Caenorhabditis elegans: one gene and its partner. The protein of the gene in region 1 purifies or fractionates together with the protein of each later gene. This does not show direct contact. Each region holds a gene or a part of one and is shown on either strand. Other genes may lie near its edges.

Region 1 (9,321 bases):
CGCTACTGAATTTAGAAATGAGACAAACTTAATTTTCAAATTAATTTTAATTTTTCAGGTAATAGAAAACGAGGATGTCTATGATCGACCTATCGCAAGATCAGTTTGCCTAGATTATGACGCAGTTATTACGAATGTCGAGAACCAAGAGGAGCTGGATGATATCAATGGTAAGTAGCTGCTCAATAAATAAGAGTATTGTTAATTAGAAAAATTATATGTAAAGTCCAACGGAACAATTTCCAGTTGACTAATATTTGCCTACAAGGTGACAGGCGCCTGCCTTTTGCATGCCCACTTACCTACTTTTCAATTGGCAGTTTAAATCTAATAGAAGGGTTTCGGTTGTGACGAAAATTTTTTTGTAGACATGCTGTTTTTCTACGTGGAATTTTTTCTAAATTTTACTGAAACTAAATACTTCAAATGACAAAAAAAGAAGACAGTAAGTAGGCCTGTAGGCAGACAAGTAGAATAGGGCCTACCCGCCCTTCTCGTCTCTTATTAAAAATACGATCGGCGTGATGCCATTTTACAAATTCTCGCAAGCTGAACAAACACCTGGAGGCAGCGATTAGCATTCGTACTATTTTGGAAAGCGAATTTTCTGGTTTTTTGAAAAATTTGGAAAATGTGAAAAAATAGAGCCGGCGGCTAAAACTTTTCTGAAAGTTATGTATTTACTAACATGCTTAAAGCCAATCACTGTTATCATTTATCAAACAAATTATGTAAATGCAACGTCATTGTTATTGAATGTAAATGCTAAAAGGCACAACAAAGCCGACAGAAACTGACAAACAACTTTTAGGCAAGTTAAAACTGAACACAAATTTCAGCTTTAATTCGAAAAAACAATAAACGAGTCGCAGTGGACGGAGTGTTCAATCCAAAATGCCGAGGTTTCAGCGACTGGCGAATGAGAAAGTTTGGAGGACTTTGCGCAAAAGAAAAAGAGGTTTTTGTTTCGAAAAGTGTGTTTCAAGTATCCCGATCGTTTTAGCTATTTATTCTGGAGGACGATCACACCGATCCAGCGTTCATTCTCACAAAGTGGTCTGGAGAACCGCCAACTTCATCAGACAAGTATCAGGAGAAGGGGGACTCTACGTAAGGAACCCAGTGGGATAAAAGCTTCATGTTCTAGTTTTCAGAGAAATTTTCACAATCGCTGAATGTCTATCTCTACATAATCTCCAGGCAATCAAGAATACTGGAAATTTGAAGGATTTTTTGTGAGTTTTTTTTTTGCAGGATTTTCAAACCCAAAACTAAAAAAATTTCAGGTGCGGCGAAGAACCAGACAAACAAGTCGGCGAGGTGCCATTCTTCGGAGTTCTGTGTGGATGTGCTCCAGTATAAAATTATTTAACTAGTGCCAAATGTATAAACAATTTTTGAATTTTTTGAAGATTTTTCAGAGAAATCTGTCCTCGAGGCACAATATAAATTGTTCTTACAATGTATGCCTAGTTTGAAAATGTATATCATGACTCGATTTTTTTTGTGTTATAAAAAATTTTCCCTCTAGAAAAAGTTGAAAAATAGGTAGAAAAATAAAATGCGTCATTTCCGCCCAGCCCCCGAGATACCGTATCATTTTGATGTATTCGGGGAATAATGGTTCCGCAGAAACGGAATCATTGAAGGGATGTACAGCTTTTTTATAGCTTTTGACTAGTACAAAAGCATACTGAAAGCTTCTTCTTGAACTCTTCATAACATGTTAGTTTTATTCTTACTATTCTTGGTTGTTCCGGCGGTTTCTGCAAAGGATCCAAGATGCCCAAAAAACTTTACTTTTGTCAAAAGAACACTAACTTTTAAGAATAATTTTACAAAGGGGTGGTGCTTGGGGGTACGTTATTGATAGAGACAGTACCCAGTTTTAAAATACACTTTCAAGATTTTCAATGGAACGGATGTGGGAAATCGTGACCGAGCCCGCTCAGTCTGTCTCTATCATAACGCTTCGCTGAGCAATCCAGAAAATTCACATGAACTTGAGATTGTTTCTGGTAAGTTGATCATGTTTTTTTTTAAAGACATGTCTTCAATTCAAAATCGCTAGGAAAAATATGCTTCTAAATGTGTAATTAATTTTTAGACGTTATTCGCGCACGGAACATTTCCCTCCCGATTGCACTCGACGGACAACTCTCTCCAAGATGCAAGGCCCTTATTTTCAGAGGCGAACAGAGCCAACAATATTTTGACCAAAGAACAGAGGAAGGAGATTGCAATATTAACAATCATTTGTTTGTATATGATGATATCAATACAGATACTTTATTTATCCGTTCCAAACTAGGTACTTCGGCTGGAACTAATGGAGGATACTCCAGTCAGGAGGACGGAGTAAAGTAAGTGTATGAAAATTTCTAGATTCAACGTCAAACAAGTCTAGAATTCAATTTACAGATTTCGTTTCACCAGAGATTGTAACGCATTAACAGATGCATACTATTACTTTTCTAATGGAACACATTTCTATGCGGTAGATGGACGAACTGAATTGCTCGGATGCTTTGGGGAAAAGGATAAGCAAAATAAACACGAATATAGTAGTGTTCTTTGTGGAAGATTCCCTCTCTGAGTTAATTGATCAGAAAAGACAGTTGTTAATAAATATTTTGGAGTTGTTGTTCGAATTCATCACTTGTGATTATATCAGAAAATACCAATTTTGCAACAAACATCAGTCGAGGATATGCATAATTTTCATAATAAGTATTTTTTGATAGCTAAAGATTGGAGCTAATCATATTTCAAAATTTACAGAGACAGGACTATTTTAAAAGTAAACTACCCTGTAACAAATCAAGAGTTTCGAAGCTTGAAATCAAAAAAAAACTTATTCTTGTAAATCATTTTATATTCTACCTCGGAAGCCGACAAAAGCTTGGTTTTAAAAAATCTAGCTTCAAAGTCTTGTTTTCAACCACAAATGTTTGTGTACATAAATTTTTGGATAGGTATCATAACAAGCAAGAGGGCCTTATGTTAGTCATAGGCTTGCACTCAGTTGCTCAATTTTGACGGCTAATAACTAGGTTGTGTTTTGTTTTACCAAAAATTATAAGCTGACAAAGAATGTGTTACAAATTTCTCTACAGTTTTGGTGTTAAATGTTTTTGATAAAAGGGCTGAAAATGAGGGTACTTTTGTTAGAATCTTTATTAGATCAGATATTTTTTTGTTTCAAAGCGCATGGTTTCAATATTCTTGACAACTTCTATCAACCTACGTGTTATATAAGAATTTCTTTGAATGAAATCATCCAACCTGATGAAGAAATATAATGCGTCGTTTCCGCTATCCAGCCCCGAGATACAGTATCATTTTGATGTATTCGGGGAATAATGGCTCCGCAGAATCGGAAACGCTACAGGGGGCGAACAACTGTTTTATAGCTTTTGACTAGTACAAAAGCATGCTGAAAGCCTTCTATGAAGTTCAGTATAAAATGTTAGTTCTATTCCTACTATTTTTGGCAGTCCCAGAATTTTCTGCGAAGGATCCAAGATGCCCGGGAAACTTTACGTATTTCAAGAGAACACCGACGGCAAAAAATAACTTTACAAAGGGATGGTGCTTGGGGGTAAGTTGTTCATATCAATGACACCTAAATAGTTTTAAAATGATATTTCAAGATTTTCAATGAAACGGATCTGGGAAATCGCGACCGAGCCCGTTCAGTATGTATCTATTACAATGCGTCGTTGAGTATTCCAGAAAATTCACACGAACTCGAAGTGATTTCTAGTAAGTTTTTGAGGATTTTTTTATTGCTGCATGCGGAAAAATGTAAAATTTCCAGAGACTGCTAGCTTGAGAAACATTTCCGTACCAATCGCTCTTGATGGACAACTCTCTCCAAGATGCAAATTCGCAATTTACAAAGGACAAGTAAAGGGTGCAAAACGATTTAATCAAACTTCTGAAGAAGGAATTTGCAATATTAAATATGAATTGTTCATATATGATGATATTAATACGGATACTTCATTCATTCGCACAAAGCTAGGTGTTTCGGCAGGATCAAACGTAAGAAGTGTACAAGCTGATGATGATATCGAGTAAGTTTTGAAAATCGACTTTCCTATTTGCATCCAACATTTCATTTTCAGGTATCGCAGTACAGCAGATTGTACCGTTTTGGAAAAAGGATCGTATCACTATTCTAATGGAACACTAAAAGATGGGCACACTAATTTGATGGATTGTATGGGACAGCTAGCTGGCTCCAAGAGGCTACCAGAAAAAAATGTCACCGCCGTTCTTTGTGGCCGATTGCCGTTCTAAGTAAATGTATTCTATCATTTCTGGAAAGATTAATTTTCAATATTTAATAAATATTATATTTCCGAAATCTTTCTGATATTTCTTATTACCTTAGCTGATTGAAAAGATAAGGTACACCCAATTTGTTTCCGCAAGTGAACTTCAGGTTATTCTTAGGCGACGAAAATCCCTGTGCGGGTTTACAATTAAATCATTTTCGCAACGAAACATTTCCTTTTACAGAGTTTTGACAAGTGTGTATACCATTTTTGTAAACTAAAAGTCAATTAATTCATCTTAACTTTCGTCTCGAACTTTTCGTTTTTAAGTTCCATCTTGTTGATAATACGGCCTAAAAATTGTAAAAAATTTCTCAAAGCTTCCTATTTTCTGTGTCAAGAAAAATCGGAGAGCTCTACATTATCTCTTTTTTGGCTTCCGGAAAACTTTTAGAGTAAATTTATAATGTATAATTTATGATAAACCTCAAGAAAATAGGTACAACAAGCATCTGCTACGTCCAAATCAAAATGTTTAGAAGAATAAATACTACGGTAGAGCATTTTGTGGGTGTTGTTGAACATCACGCTTTTGTTGAAACGATCAAATGCTGTCGGAAAATAATGGCTCCGCATGGCTTAGTCACAATTTTATCGATTTCAATAGGTACAAAACCCCGCCGAAACTTTTCAAAACTGACAGAAAAATGTTCGTTTTCTTTTTGCTATTTTTGACTGCGGTTTTCGCAAAGGATCCACAATGCCCAGAAGGGTTTTCTCATGTCAAGAGAGTCCCAACTGCAAGGAACAATCATACAAAGGACTGGTGTTTGGGCGTAAGTTCCAAGTTTTGGGTTTTGTGTTCATAATGCTTTATGACCATATTTCAGGTTTTCCAATTCAAGAACATGGGAAACCGAGACCGAGCTCGATCATTTTGCAGTTATGTGAACGCTTCATTGACCATTCCAGAAAATGAGCACGAGATTCAAGTGTTTTCTGGTAGGGATATTTTTCAATAAAAACATTTTCAGTGTTGTAATCTTCAAAAACTTTCAGAAATCGCCCGAGCTCATGGAATTGAAGCTCCTTATGCTGTTGACGGTCAAATTTCTCCAAAATGCAACGGTCGTATTAATAAAGTCGAAATCATACTTCGTCATCGATTCAACAGTACAGAAGAAAAAGGAGATTGTAATATCAAGAATAATCTATTTTTGTTCGATGATGTCAATAGTGACACTACATTCATGCTGAGCCATTACAAACGTCGACTTCCAGCTGCTTATATGGTTCATCAAGCTGACAATGGTCCAATGTAAATTAGACATAATTATCAAATAGCGTGAAATCATAAAAAATCAAATATTACAGATTCCGATTCGCCGCTGATTGCATTGTTCTAAAATCTGGAATTGTCAAGGCTAATGGCACAGAAACAAGAAAGAATTGGGGAAGTTTGGAGTTTTGTGTGGGAAAAAATGCAGTGCAGGCTTATACAGACGATGAAAAACCATATGGAAACGACGTGGAAGCAGTTTTGTGTGGAAGACATCCACTTTAATTGTTTTGAGAAACTTATAAGAAATGTGGGTCCTAGAAATGTGATGCACCTTGTCTTTAGTTTTGATTGAAAATTGTCAGCTGAAAAAATAAATTTCAATTTTTTCTATAGTTTTGTAACTTAGTATTAAAAAAATAACATTGAAATTCCCTACAAAACAGTGAAAACTGTAAAAAACAAAAGCGAATAAAAAAAATCTCGAGTCTCGTTTCCCCCATTATACATAAGTACATCAATCCCTATCCTTTCCAACATAGAAAAAAAACACGACACGGTCTATATGATGCGAATATTCGGTAATACGCGATTTAGAGATGATGGAGGAAATAGATGGGACTGGATTTTTTGTCAATTTTTTTTTACAGTGATGATGATTAACTTTTTATGGTTGGGAGGTTTTTCACTGTATTATACATATATATGAATGGTTAAGCAGGAAATGGGGGTTAAAGTAAGTGTGAAAGGAGAAGCCTAGTGACATCAGCAACAGAAGATGCCTGCCGGTGTGCCTTCAAGGCAATCTAGGCCTACCTCGTGCCAACAAACTCCTGAAGTAGGCCAGACAGGTTCGAGGTATGTATGTAGGTAAGCACACATGCCTGGAGCTTAATGAAAACTTTATGGCAAGAAAATGATCTAAACACATGCCAAAATACACTAAACCCCAAAAAAACGGGAACTTTCGAGAGGCCCAGCTGAGAGTTTAACACATTTTGTTGAAAGTAATGTGGGTTTTATAGGAAATCTCTAGCGATCAAACACTCCGAAAACTTTTGAGTTTCATGCATCTTTTTGTGACGTACTGGAAGATTTGAAAAAATTGGAAAAATCAACTGGCAATAAGACGTTTAGAAAAGATGATTGGCAAAAAATGAAACTGAACATTCAAGTGACCAAAATTTGCCAAAAAAAGGAAAAGGAAACATTAATTTATAATTGAAAGATACTTAATCTAATAAACACACGAAACCATAACGATCGTATGAATCACTGGTTTCGAGTGAAGAGAGAGAACACTTGTAGTTTTCAATTCAAGTGAGGTGTCGAGAGTATTGACACATTTATATGCACTTATTCTCATGTTTTTCAAATGGTTTGAAATGCTCACTTCCTCATGTGAAGGGTTTATTAAAGTTCTTGGAAGTTGTGAAAATTAATTGTAAGTAAAAAACTCCGAATTTGTGCGCGCACTTGAAAATTACGTTTTAATTCGGATTTAGGATTTTTGCAACTATGATTTTTTTCAACTGCTCAAAAATTTAATTTTGTTTTTGAAATTTCCAAATTTCTTGGAAACTTTTTAGGACACCGATGTCTTTTCAATCAATACAAATATGAAAAAAAAAAAAAAATCGCATGATCGAAGAGCGGATCGAAACGAAAATTGTTTTGTGTATGAGGGGATGAATGGGGGAAAATACAGAAAACCGAAACGAATTGAATAGAAAAAAATGAGTGGAAAGGGCTAGAGGACGACGGTCAGGATTATTCGTCATTCAAATGTGTGTGGAAGAGTAGATGATGGTCACCACCACTAGTCGTCAACTACAATTAGTCCCCCTCTCTCAATCTACTGGAAAAGAACGAGAAAATGAACACTTTTTGGGTGGGTTATAAGTGGTGTTGGTGTGTTGATTGGTTGGAAAAATGGATTTGATGGGTTCCAGTTATTTTACTGGACATTTACTGTGACTAATACTTAATACATTTTAGCGCGGATACAGTTAGTTGGTATTGAAAACGAAAAGGGCGGAACTCGTTATAGAGAAACGGAAACTGTGAGATAAATTTTCAGGAATTTTAAGAATTTTCGGTATTTTAAAATATAATTAGCGTGTATTTATGGGATTCGGTGTCTCATGTCCCCAAATAAAAAATTTTCTTAAATTGGCTAATTTAAAAATTGAAACTAACAAAAATAAGTTCGAATTTCCCACCGAATTTTTTTAATGTGCTATGTAAATTTCTCGTCACGAGTGGTTTCAAAAAAACTTTTCAGGCCGACTGAAGCTTGAAAGGTTCGGCCCATAACTTCCTGTAGACTAGTGACGTTCAAGAAGAAGTATTTTGTCCAATAGAAATACCAGAAGTTTTAAGATTATTTTTCATAGCAGTTATATGTAGGAAACAGTTCAAGAATTATCATATATGTCAAAAAATGATCACAAAAATGCCTACTCGCCTGCCTACAGGCATACTTGCCTAGGTCTACACCTAGTCCATCTTTAAGGTAACCTACGCCTACCAGAGAATTTTCAAAACGAAGTGAAAGTGTCAAAAACAAAAAGAACGGTGAGGAGTTTATATTGCTCAAGGTGGCAACCTGAAACCAGTCCCCAATCCATGACAAATCTCAAATGACAAATTCTAAGCAAACAAATAGTGAATAAGCTTAACCCACCGGCTCATAATGATGACGATACGTGTTGCGAACTTTCATGAGAAAATATTCGAAGTCAATGGGCATGAATTATATGAATATATCGAATGGTTTGGAAGGCTAAAAGTGGGACAATGCCGTTCACTAATCCGCTTCACTTTATCGCGGTAAGCTAGTTACATTCAAAAAGAGAAACACACAGATTTTTGTCACAAAACCATAATGAATACCTTCATTGTTGAGTATCTCTTTTGTAGAAAATAATGCAGTTCTAGAAATACGACTTTTGAGAAATGACGGCTTAGCTTCAATAAACTTTTTGAGCTCTTTTCTGTGGGCTCTATTGATAGAAATAAACAAACAAAACCTGTGGTGTCAAGTGAAAGTAAATGAAAAAAAGAGGAGAGAAAGTAAAGAGAATGGTGTTCTATTTAATAACTTGGCATTTTTTTGCAACTCAAAGATCAAATTTTGATAAATTTTTTTTGACGCTGGAATTTTTTTTTGCATTTTCAAATGAATTAAGTCTAGACTAAATAGATTTTATCAATTCTGAGATCTAAATTTAGGCACAAAACTTCCTGCCTGCCAACAAGGCGCCTTACGCATACCTCGTGCCTACAACCGTGCCTACCAGGATGTTCTTATATATGCAGTTTTTTAATGCGCCGCGGAACCCAGAAAAGGTCGGTTGCTGTGATTTTTTTGTCCAAATTTAGAGGTAGGTAGGCGCAATGCAGGCTTAAAACCTATGCCCGAATTCAAGCCCGCATACAATCCTAAGCCTAAACCTAAGCCATGGCTTAAGATTAAGACTAAGCCTAAACCTAAGCCTGAGCCTAAGCCAATTGTAAGCCCAAGACTTTCCGATTTCTTAACTGCTAGAAATCTGCTATAACTGTGCTAGAAGTTGAAAAATGATATTTTGATCCAAATCTGAAAATGTTTTTCTGAAAAAAAATCCAGATTATCTTTCAAAGCCCGCTTCGTGGAACTGAAAAGATTTACAGATTTTCAGAGAATTTATCAGAAAATTAAAGCTTGTCAAAGATTTCTGCCATCAAAAAACTTTGAATTTTTTGACTGAAAGACTA
Region 2 (11,047 bases), on another chromosome or scaffold:
GGTTGTTGAGGAGTTGAGACGAGCAACACAAAATGTATCCAATTTGGGCGAAAATTGACTTTTTTCTCTTTCTTTTTGCGGGTGGAACTTTAGGGAGGAGAGGACTATTCCTAGAAGAAATACGCACTCTTCGTGGCGAGACCCGCGAAATTTTATTGAAAATTGAGTTTTACAATAAAATAGTGGGTTTGAACAAATTTGAAATTCGCCACGAATGTAAATTTTTCAGAGGGTTTGATCTACCTGTCTACCTGTAATACATATCAGATATCGTAGTAAACTTTTTAAAATGAAAATTTGAAATTTTGATTCAAAAATTCAAATTCACCACGCTGTGAGCTTCAATTCAAGTATAGTCATGCCTAGGTTTCACTGAGAAAACTGGGTCCCACCGCGAAAACTACAGTACCCCATGTAGACACTTTCGTGACGGGACCCAAATCTAAAGGAACATAGCCAATATGGGGCTTAATTTGAAGCTCTTCGTTTGCTGAATTCAAATTTTATAATAAAACCCTTTAAAATCTACAAACAAAAAAAGTTATCTTGCAGAGAGAAGTAATTTCGATTCACATCGGACAAGCCGGAGTCCAAATCGGAAATGCTTGCTGGGAGCTCTACTGCCTGGAGCACGGAATTCAGCCCGATGGTCAAATGCCTTCTGACAAGTCCCTCGGAGGATCCGATGACTCTTTCAGCACTTTCTTCTCGGAAACTGGAAGTGGACGTCATGTGCCAAGAGCCGTCATGGTCGACTTGGAGCCAACTGTCATTGGTGGGGGATTTTTTTTAAGAAGATATTTTTGAATTTTCACTTAAATTTTTGAAATCAGTGTTAAAAGCCCGTTAAAATAAGTATAATCATGACTAGGTTCTGAAAATGCTGAAATTTTTGGGTCCCGTCACGAAAACGTATGTGGTACTGTAGCAATCTTACAGAGATGTTAAAAATTATTATTTTTGCGTAGTTCAGGACTTTACGCATTTATAACTTCTAATTTCCGCCCAAAACTTTAAGTTTTGGCACATTTATGGATTTTCGAAAAATTTCGAAAATCAAAAAATTTAAATTTTCAAAACGGCACAGCAATATTCCCAGTTTCACCGCAAGACCTAATTTTTTTGGTTTTCATATTTGGCATTTTGAGAACTTTCATTTGAATATGCAAACATAACTAAGCTATGAAAATTCTGAAGGGGTACTGTAGCTCTCGTGGCGGGACCAAACTTTTTTGGAAATCTGGTCATGATTATACGTATTTTGAAGGTGTCGGAAAGCTGAAAAAAATTTTAAAATTTTGAGTTAAAAGGTCTAACTTTATGACTTTTTGTGGTTCTGCGAAAAAACGCAATTGGAAAATTTTTGATATTAGGCTTCTCCGAAAACCCTAGAAAAACGTCACCAATTCCATTTCGGCTCAATTTTCAAAGAGCTCTTCCTCTTTTTGCTTCAAATGGCGAGCCCATTGTGATGTAATTAGACGCAGACACTACACATCTGCTAACATGAATGGATGTACTCTCTCCAAGAATTTAATGGAATTGGAGTAGGACACCCTATTAGGGATGCAAATGGAAAATGTTTTGCTATTTGACGGAGGAAATTTTGAACATTTTCAGAGAAATTTGGGGTATCTGAAAATACTATACAAAATTTCTCACATTTTGTTAGTTGAAACTTTTTTGATAGCTGTTTTCTACGCAGAGTTACAAACGTTTTAACGTGTCGTTGTAAAAGATCGTGGGAGAGAAAGAGACGCAGACAACGAGCGCGACTGCGTCTCCCCTCCCTCCACACTCTCTCACTGTTCTTACTTTAAACGCGTATATCTCCGCGATGAGGAGAGCTATCAAAAAGTTGACAACTACCAAGTTGTAGGAAATTTTGAGCTCTATAATATGTTAATAAACAATTTTTTATTAACTCAACTTCCGGCAAAGTTATAGGCGTTTCAAGTTAGTCTAGAAAATTTGTTTGTCGTTAGTTTTGCAACTAAAACCAAAAGTTCCATGTTCCATCAACTTCCCAAATAGACAAAGTATACTCTCGGGAGGAAGCTCATCTTCCCCTCTCACCAACAAACTTCTTCGTCTGCTATTCATATAAAAAAGAAGAAAAGATGAGAAAATGAAGGGAGGGAAAGGGATGAAGAACATTGGATATTCATCGAAAACCGAAACCGAAATAAGGAATTGGAATTGAATATTTGGGAGTGTTGGTGGCGGAGGAGAAGGATGAGGACACATAAAAATTCATTGAAAGATGAGAAAATGGGCAAAGAAATAAAAGTTGTGTATTTTCGTGGGGGATTTTGGGAGAAAATCTGAGAACTCTGCTAAAATCGAGAATATCTGAAAATTTAGGAACACTATCAAAAAATTGTCAACCCACAACTTATAGCCCTGAAATTTTCCTATATTTTGTTAGTTGAAACCTTTTTGATAGCTCTGCTCGTTGCGGAGATAGCGCCTTTCAAACTATACAGGCGTCAGTGAGTGTGGGGTGAGGGGAGACGCAGTGTGAGCGCGCCGTCTGCGTCTCTCCCCCTTCCACTATCTCTCGGTACTGTTGATTTTAAACGGGCATATCTCAGCGGGAAGTTGAGCTATCAAGAATTTTTTAAAGTACGAAATGTAGGAAATTCCAAGTACTATATTTTGATAGTATTGTAAAACTCTAAAAATTGAGAAAACTGAAAATTCTTCAAAAACAGGACTTCAAAACAGGTTTTTTTCCTACATGTGCTAAAGTGTTTTACTGAAAAGGCAAAATTACCAAAAATTAAATTCTAAGAACTGTTTGAAATACTTCAAATCTCCATAACGCAAAAATTATTTGTCAGATCGAAAACTAGTCAACCAACAAATTGTAGCGCTGAAAATTAACTATATTTTGTTAGTTGAAACCTTTTTCATAGCCTTACTCGTTGCGGAGATAGCGCCTTTCAAAGTTTACAGGTGCTAGAGAGTGTGGGGTGAGGGGAGACGCAATGTGCGCGCGCAGTCTGCGTCTCTCCCCCCTCTACACTATTTTGCCCTGTAAACTTCAAAAGTGTATATCTCAGCGTAGAAGAGAGCTATCAAAAAATTTTCAACTAAGGAAGTATTGCAAATTTTGAGGAGAACTCGAATTTTTATCAAAAAAAAATATTAAATTAAAAACAAAAATTTTCCAGACGAAATCCGCACTGGAACCTATCGCTCCCTCTTCCACCCGGAACAACTCATCACTGGTAAGGAAGATGCCGCAAATAACTACGCTCGTGGTCACTACACCATCGGAAAAGAAATCATCGACCTAACCCTTGACCGTATCCGCCGTCTAGCTGACAACTGTACCGGACTTCAAGGATTCCTAGTGTTCCACTCTTTCGGAGGAGGTACTGGATCCGGTTTCACTTCTCTTTTGATGGAAAGACTATCTGTGGACTATGGAAAAAAGGCCAAGCTCGAGTTCTCCATCTATCCGGCTCCTCAAGTCTCCACTGCTGTCGTAGAGCCATATAACTCGATTTTGACCACCCATACCACTTTGGAGCACTCGGATTGCTCATTTATGGTTGATAATGAGGTAAATACTGGATAAATATTTTTTTACAGAAATTAGCTTGTTAGTAACTGTAAATTACAACCATATTAACATAGTTAATGATATTTTTAAATTGAAAATTTTTTTTTTAAATATTTATTTAGCCCTATTCACTGGTTATGCCCTAGAATATGAAAATTTTTAAGACAAAAGTTTTTGAAAAGTCTCAAAATTTTGTATTTTATTTTCACACCTTAAATTTAAAAAAAATCAATACAATTTCAGATACCGAAAATTAAAATCTCAAAACTTTGCAAAATTCGAAAGTTCAAGCTTTTGAAATTAGAAAAACTGTAATCAGCTCACTCAGAGCTTCAATTTAACACCCATATTGACTCGGTTCCTGTTAGTTTGAAAATGTTCGCCCTTCGCGCCTTTAAAATCGTGGTGAGACCCAAAAATAAGAAAGGGCCGGAACCTAAGCAATATGGGGCTTATTTTGAAGCTTATAATTTGGGGACTGAGATTTTAATAGTTTCAAAGCCTATTGGCAGAAATTTTTATTAAAAATATTTAAATAGAAAAAAAATTGTCCGAAAAAAATTTTTTTTTTGATACTTCCAAAAAAAAATCCAAAAAATTTCCAGGCAATCTACGACATTTGCCGTCGCAACCTGGACATCGAACGTCCATCCTACACAAATTTGAATCGTCTCATCGGTCAAATCGTCAGCTCCATCACCGCTTCCCTCCGATTCGACGGAGCCCTCAACGTCGACTTGACCGAGTTCCAGACAAACTTGGTTCCCTATCCACGTATTCACTTCCCGCTAGCCACATTTTCTCCGGTTATCTCAGCGGAAAAAGCCTATCACGAGCAGCTATCAGTGGCTGAAATCACTAATATGTGCTTCGAGCCACATAACCAGATGGTCAAGTGTGATCCGAGACACGGAAAGTATATGGCAGTTTGTCTGCTTTTCCGTGGAGATGTAGTGCCAAAGGATGTGAATGCTGCAATTGCAACTATTAAGACTAAGAGAAGCATTCAATTTGTAGATTGGTGCCCAACTGGATTTAAGGTAGGTTTCTGAATAAATTTTATTTATTTTAATAATTTTAAATCTCAAAATTCGCCACGAAAAATTTATAAACACACATAAAAATACCGCCAAAAATTAGCCGAAAATCTTGAAAAAAGTGAAGTTGAGGTGTCTTGAACTTTTGTCAAAAACCCACAATTTCAGGCAAAAAATTGAAAATCTTAAGATTGTTCTATGAACTTTTTGGCTTTTAAAAGAATTTTTTCTTAAAAGAAAATTTTCTTTTTCTTACTTAATTCACAACGAGTCTCAGTTTACTTCATAAAATATTTTTTCTAATTTTGCTTTACAGTTTCAGCAAAAAATAAAAAAATATGCTGAAAATCTTGAAAATTATTGAAGTTATAGGGTTTTGAAATTTAAAAAACCCAGGAAATTTACTTTGTTTTCTTTTAATTTTTACATTTCTCAGATAATTTTCAAAGGACAAAATTAGGTAAAAAAAAATTAGCTAAAATCCTCAAAAACTAACAGAGTTATATGGTTTTGAAATTTTTCCAAAAAATATTAATTGATTATTTTTTCTAGTAATAATTTTTTCATAAAACAATTTTAGATTAATTAATAACAAAATGGGTCAAAAACGCATGCAATTTTAGTCAAAAAATAGCGGAAAATCTCTAAAATGAGTAATGTTATGCTGTTTTAAAATGTTGTCCAAAAAAAAAGCTTTTCAATTTACTCGAAAATTTTCACAGAACAATTTCAGATTATTACATATCAAAGTGCTCCAAATAAATTTCTACAGTTTCAATAAAAATTTAACTGAAAATCTTTAAGTAACAAAGTTCAGGGGTTTCGAGTTTTTAAAAAATGTTCTGTCACCTTTTTTTTGTTGATAATTTTAAAAAGTTTTCAATCTTGAAAATAAATTATTTCTACTTTTAGATTATTAAATATTGATAAAGTATAAATATTTTCTACATTATTTAAAGGTTTTTTTTTTAATTTTCTCCAAAAAAAAAGTTTCACAGAACAATTTTAGATTGCTATGTAGCCTATAGCAAAACCGTCCAAAAATTTGTTTTTTACCTAATTGGCTGAAAATCTTAAATTGGAAGAGAAATTAAAATTACAACATATTTTCAAAAAGAAAAAAAAACAATTTGCCCTCACTTCACTTTTTTCCTTTTTTTTTAATTCTCAAATAATTGTGTCCTTCCAAGAAACAGGAAAACTAATAAAACGTCATTCATGTTTACCCTCTATCATCTTTACCACACATTTCGTCAAAGTAAATTTTAGTTGTGAGAAAAATATTTCGATTTCGAAAAACACTACCTAGAATTGACAAAAATAACACATTTAACTAACTCCCACAAAATATAGCCCATAAAAATTCCTTTATTTTGATAGTTTAACTTTTTTTGTAGCTCTTCTCCCCACGGAGATATGCGCTTCCAAAGTTTAGACAGCGAGAGAGTGTGGGAAGAGGTGAGACGCCGACTGCACGCGCAGTCTGAGTCTCCTCTCACCCCACACTCTTTAGTCACCTTCACCTTGAAACGCTGATATCTTGGCTGGGAAAAGAGATATTTAAAAACTTTTAACTAATGAAATGTTTGAAATTTTAAGGGCTATATTTCAAATATAAAAGTTAATTGATAAAAATACTGTTATAGCTATAATACTGCTTTCAGGTCGGAATCAACTACCAACCACCAACGGTAGTCCCAGGAGGTGACCTGGCAAAGGTACCCCGTGCCGTGTGCATGCTCTCCAACACCACCGCAATCGCTGAAGCCTGGGCTCGTCTGGACCATAAATTCGACCTAATGTATGCGAAGAGAGCATTCGTCCACTGGTATGTTGGTGAAGGAATGGAGGAAGGAGAATTTAGTGAGGCTCGTGAAGATTTGGCTGCTCTTGAGAAGGATTATGAGGAAGTCGGTGTGGACAGTATGGAGGATAATGGAGAAGAAGGAGATGAGTATTAGAATATAAAAATAGATCTTGACCCCAAAAAACTCCCCGCTTTTATGATGTGAATTTCCCCAAACTTTAATTATGCTTTGTCTGCCAATTGCTATGCTTCATTTTCTTGAACTTTTACTATTTTCTTTACTACAACGATCAATAAACTTGTTCCAACGGCCTCCATCTTTCACTTTTCAAAAAACAAATACAAGCAGCTTATAGCCCTTAAAATTCCCTATATTTCGATAGTTGGAAATTCGTTCATAGCTGGTCCCTACACCGAGATATACGCGTTCAAAATTTACAGATGCTAGAGAGTGTGGGGTGAGGGGAGACGCAGTGTGCGCGCGCCGCCTGCGTCTCCCCTCCCCATACACTCTCTTGCTGGCTCTGACTTCGAAGGCGCATATCTCAGCGGGGAGAAGAGCTATTAAAAAGTTTTCAACTAACAAAATATGGGAAATTTCAAGGGCTACATTGTGAGTTAAAAAAAATTTTGCTAGCTGCTATAGTTTTTGACACAGCTGTTTTTATGGAAAAATTCATATTTTTAAGCTATAAAAACATTATCAATTCTCAGTTTTTCGGTGCATCCGGTTGATTGTTGGGATGAGCCACTTGAAACTCTGGCAGCTCCGCTAGCTTATTGGAGATTCGAGTAATTATTGGGTAGGGCGTCATGTCCACGTGGTATCTGGCAATTTTTTTTTGAACAAAAATGTGCTTTTTTAAATAATTTTTCCTTACTTTTCTATAGCATTATACACAATTGATGGAAGACAAATATCAGCGATAGAAATTTGATTTCCGACGCAAAAATCTCCAGAGTGCATTTGCAGGAGCTCTTCGAGAGCCTTGAATCCTTTGCTGATGAAGTGTTGGCACCACTGGAAAAATTCACTTTTTAAAGAATTTTTTATTGATTTCTTGAAGTTAAGAGTATAAAAGGAAAAATTAATTCAATTATCGAATTCAGTGCATTAAGAGCTTAAAAAAGTATAATTATAAAAAGTATTATAAATATATAAAAAGTATAATACACAATAGCTACCGCAACCCTGAGGGGTTTCGTGGCAAGACCCCAATATGGGTATCATCTTGAAGCTCTTGGTGAGCTGAATATAAAATTCGTATTTGAAAATCTAAAAAGTTAGGTCTCGACGAGGAAACTGCGAAGTTTTTTTTTTCAAAAAAAAAAAACAAATTTTTATATAAATTTTTTTGGAATTTTTTTTAGAAATTGCTTTAAATTTTCAGATTTTTAGGAATTTTTTTACACCTACAAATACTAACTACTCTATAAAATTTTTTTTGAACTCACAAAATCCCCATAGCCGGGCTCTTTCTCATTGAGCATCAGGTAGATCGGCTTGTTTTGCAGAGGCTGGATATTTGAGGCGATCTGAAATTTTTCTATTATAGCAAAATCGAGAAATTATTTCTGGTCTCACCGCGAAAACAAACCTACCTATTTTGTGGGGGTCTTGGTGAACTTAATTCGAATTTTAAAAATTTTAATACGAAAATAACACAGTTTAATATGTCTATAAATGCAACAAACATACATGAAAAGCAATAGCTCTCGCGCGAGCTTTGAGCTCGGGCTCTTTCGGCAAAAGTGGTGGGTCTGGGTAGATTTCATCGAGATATTCGATTATTGCCATGCTTTCTGTCAGAGTTAGACCGTTGATTTTCAGAATTGGAACTTTTTCCGCAGGATTGTTCCCATGGAATTCTTGCTGAAAATGGAAAAACTTGGAGTTAGGAGCAAAATTTAAAATTTACCTCTTTCTGTTTGTTCAGCAAGTTCACGGGTTGATATTCATAGTCGATCTTTTTCAGAGCAAGAGCTGAAAAAATTTAAAAAAATCCCATATTTTTTTTTGTCTTCTGAAGTTCAGTTACCTGCTTAGATATAGACCTCAAAAATTCCTATATTTTGTTAGTTAAAATTTTTTCGATAGCTCTTCTCCCCGCTGAGATATGCGCGTTTTAAGTTTAGGCAGCGAGAGAGTGTGGAGGGAGGGGAGACGCAGGTGGCACTAGTTGTCTGCGTCTCTCCCCCTTCCACAATGTTTCTTCACGTCAACTTTAAAGGCGCATAACTCTGCCGAGGAAAGAGGTACGAAAAAGTTGTAAACTGGCAAAATATAGCCCTTAAAATATCCAACATTTTGTTGATTGACAATTTTTGATAACTTCGCACTCTGCAGAGATATGCGCCTTTGAAAATTAGACAGCCTCTGCGTCTCCCCTCCCTCCATACTCTCTCACCTTCTTGACTTTAAAGACGCATAGTTCAACAGTAAATCAGGATTTACAGATTTTTTTTTGGAAAACTCACCAGTTCTAACTCTTGACGAACATCCTGAACTCCAAGAGGAGTACAATATAGGTTTTGCTGCCATTTTCTAAAGAAAGTCAATGTGTTTGTGACAATTTTGGAGAAAAGTGATAGTGATGAATGATAATGAATGATAAAGGTCAATAACATGTTTAGGTGAGAAATCGGTGATGTTTGGTAGCAAAACACAAGGTGTAATGATGTTTTAGGTGTAACTTTGCAATGAAGAAAGTTATCAAAAAAATTGTTGACTATTAAAATATAGCCCTTGAAATTTCCTATATTTTATTGGTTGACAACTTTTTTTTAACATTGATAGAAACAGAGATACAAAGGGCTGAAACTGCACGGGTTGTTGCCTGCGTCGCTCCCCGCCCATTCAGTACTTCTTTTTTCAAACGTTAATATCTCTGCTAGGAAAACTGTTCTAGAAAAGGTGCAAACTGAAAAAATATAGCCCTTGAAATTTCCTATATTTTATTAGTTGACAACTTTTTCTAAGTTTTTTTCCCTGCAGAGATATGTATCTTTGAAAATTTGTAGGTGAAAGAACGCGCAAATTTTTTGATGTCTAACTTGTGCCCAATTTCTTACCACAAAACATATTCTGATTATGTTCTCTGACCTGATGTTTGCTCATATCTTATTTTTTCAAATAATACTGGTTTCTAGTTGGAGGCCCCGAAACGTTAAGAAAAAAAATTTTAGGAAAAAAAAAATTGACTTTGATCATTGCCTCCTTATCAGTTTTAACGTACATTCCATAATTTCTTAACATTTTCTTATCACTAAGTGACTAAGTTTGCTCTGAGAGCACATTTTCAGCTAGCAAACCTACATTTTCTTACAATTTTCCCTCGAAATTGTAATTTCGAAACTCTTAAACGGGTAACAATCGAACAAGAATCAAAATTTTAACCAAATTTTAACAATTCAATGTAGCCCTCAAAATTTCCTATATTCTGTCAGTTAAAAACTTTTTATTTCTCTTCTCTCCGTTGAGATATCCGCCTTTAAAATTGACGCCATAAAATAGTGTAGAAGGGGGAGAGACGGAGACAGCGCGCGCTGCCTGCGTCTCCCCTCCCTCCACACTTTCTCGCTGCCTAAACTTTGAACGTGCATATCTCCGCGGGGAGAAGAGCTATCAAAAAACTTTTAACTAACAAAATATAGGAATTTTAAATGGTTATATTTTGTTAGTTGAAACTTTTTGAAAATCTCTCTTAGATTTTGAGATATTTCGGTTTCAACAAAGAATCACTGAAAATCGCTTTTGGATTTGAAATAAAGCTATTTTGGTTCAGGAAATGAAGCATTTTAGGAGAAAACCGCATGATATATTAGAGGACCACATTTTGATCTTTCAAATATTGCTTCCGGCAGATTTATACATTTTTATATATTTTTGTGGATGATTTCAGGGAGATTCAATTTTTTCCAGTTTTTGTAGATAATTTTAATTGCCCCATTCAAAAATGACTAACCAAACTTCCAAAAAACCAAAAAAAAACAAGAGACGATACGCAGAGTACACTGCGATAACATCTGCGTCGTCGTCTCTCTCCACACATTTTGAGAGACCGAGCGACGAGAGAGTGACAATTTGTGAAGAGAGTGGTGAGACGACGAGACACTATCGAATCGCCACCCCCCACACGGACGTATTATACAAGCAAAAAGCCACGTTTTGAATGGCTTAAATCGATTATAAAGTTGACAAACTGCTTGGTTTTTAGTCTTTTTCTTGAGTTTCTTATCGATTTTAAAGGAAATTTGTGGATTTTTATTGGTTTTTAAACAGAAACTAATAAATGCATTGAATTTTTCACTATTAAATGGCTGAAATTGCTGAAACAAACTTTTCCGCTCGAGACCCATACGATAAAACTGCCCCATGCTCCTTTAAATCCACAGTACCACTTTTTTCTTCTTTTTCTTTGGTTTTCTTGTTTTTTCTGTTTTTTTAAAGAAAAATATAAAATAGATGTTTTCCGATGAGTTTATGAAATAAACCCAATTAAAACTAATAGTTTATCAATTTTTAAGCAAGAGGTTTTTTAAGCTCGCTTAAAATGTCAAAAAATAAAATTTCCACTCGAGACCCATCATACAAAATTGTGTGATGCGCCTTTAAAACCACCGTAGCTGTTT

The links.
Region 2: the proteins of clec-136 (region 1) and Y53G8B.1 fractionate together in Caenorhabditis elegans (co-fractionation; one large-scale study listed by BioGRID). This does not show direct contact.

Annotation. Positions count from the first base shown.
Region 1 is NC_003280.10:4,612,203-4,621,523, reverse strand, and holds clec-136 (C-type lectin domain-containing protein), read left to right. Parts: upstream 1-4,980; 5' UTR 4,981-4,990; coding exon 4,991-5,119; intron 5,120-5,173; coding exon 5,174-5,285; intron 5,286-5,342; coding exon 5,343-5,601; intron 5,602-5,657; coding exon 5,658-5,847; 3' UTR 5,848-5,950; downstream 5,951-9,321. Other genes in the region: clec-139 (C-type lectin domain-containing protein), read left to right, coding at 59-170, 840-958, 1,004-1,110, 1,155-1,235, 1,287-1,362; clec-138 (C-type LECtin), read left to right, coding at 1,724-1,858, 1,907-2,018, 2,108-2,363, 2,422-2,596; clec-137 (C-type LECtin), read left to right, coding at 3,434-3,601, 3,654-3,765, 3,821-4,079, 4,131-4,305; pqn-35 (Prion-like-(Q/N-rich) domain-bearing protein 25), read right to left, coding at 8,458-8,463.
Region 2 is NC_003281.10:3,127,255-3,138,301, reverse strand, and holds Y53G8B.1 (maleylacetoacetate isomerase), read right to left. Parts: upstream 9,026-11,047; 5' UTR 8,958-9,025; coding exon 8,894-8,957; intron 8,400-8,893; coding exon 8,335-8,399; intron 8,289-8,334; coding exon 8,115-8,288; intron 7,952-8,114; coding exon 7,871-7,951; intron 7,437-7,870; coding exon 7,297-7,436; intron 7,244-7,296; coding exon 7,126-7,243; 3' UTR 6,653-7,125; downstream 1-6,652. Other genes in the region: mec-12 (Detyrosinated tubulin alpha-3 chain), read left to right, coding at 553-775, 3,177-3,571, 4,177-4,611, 6,273-6,569.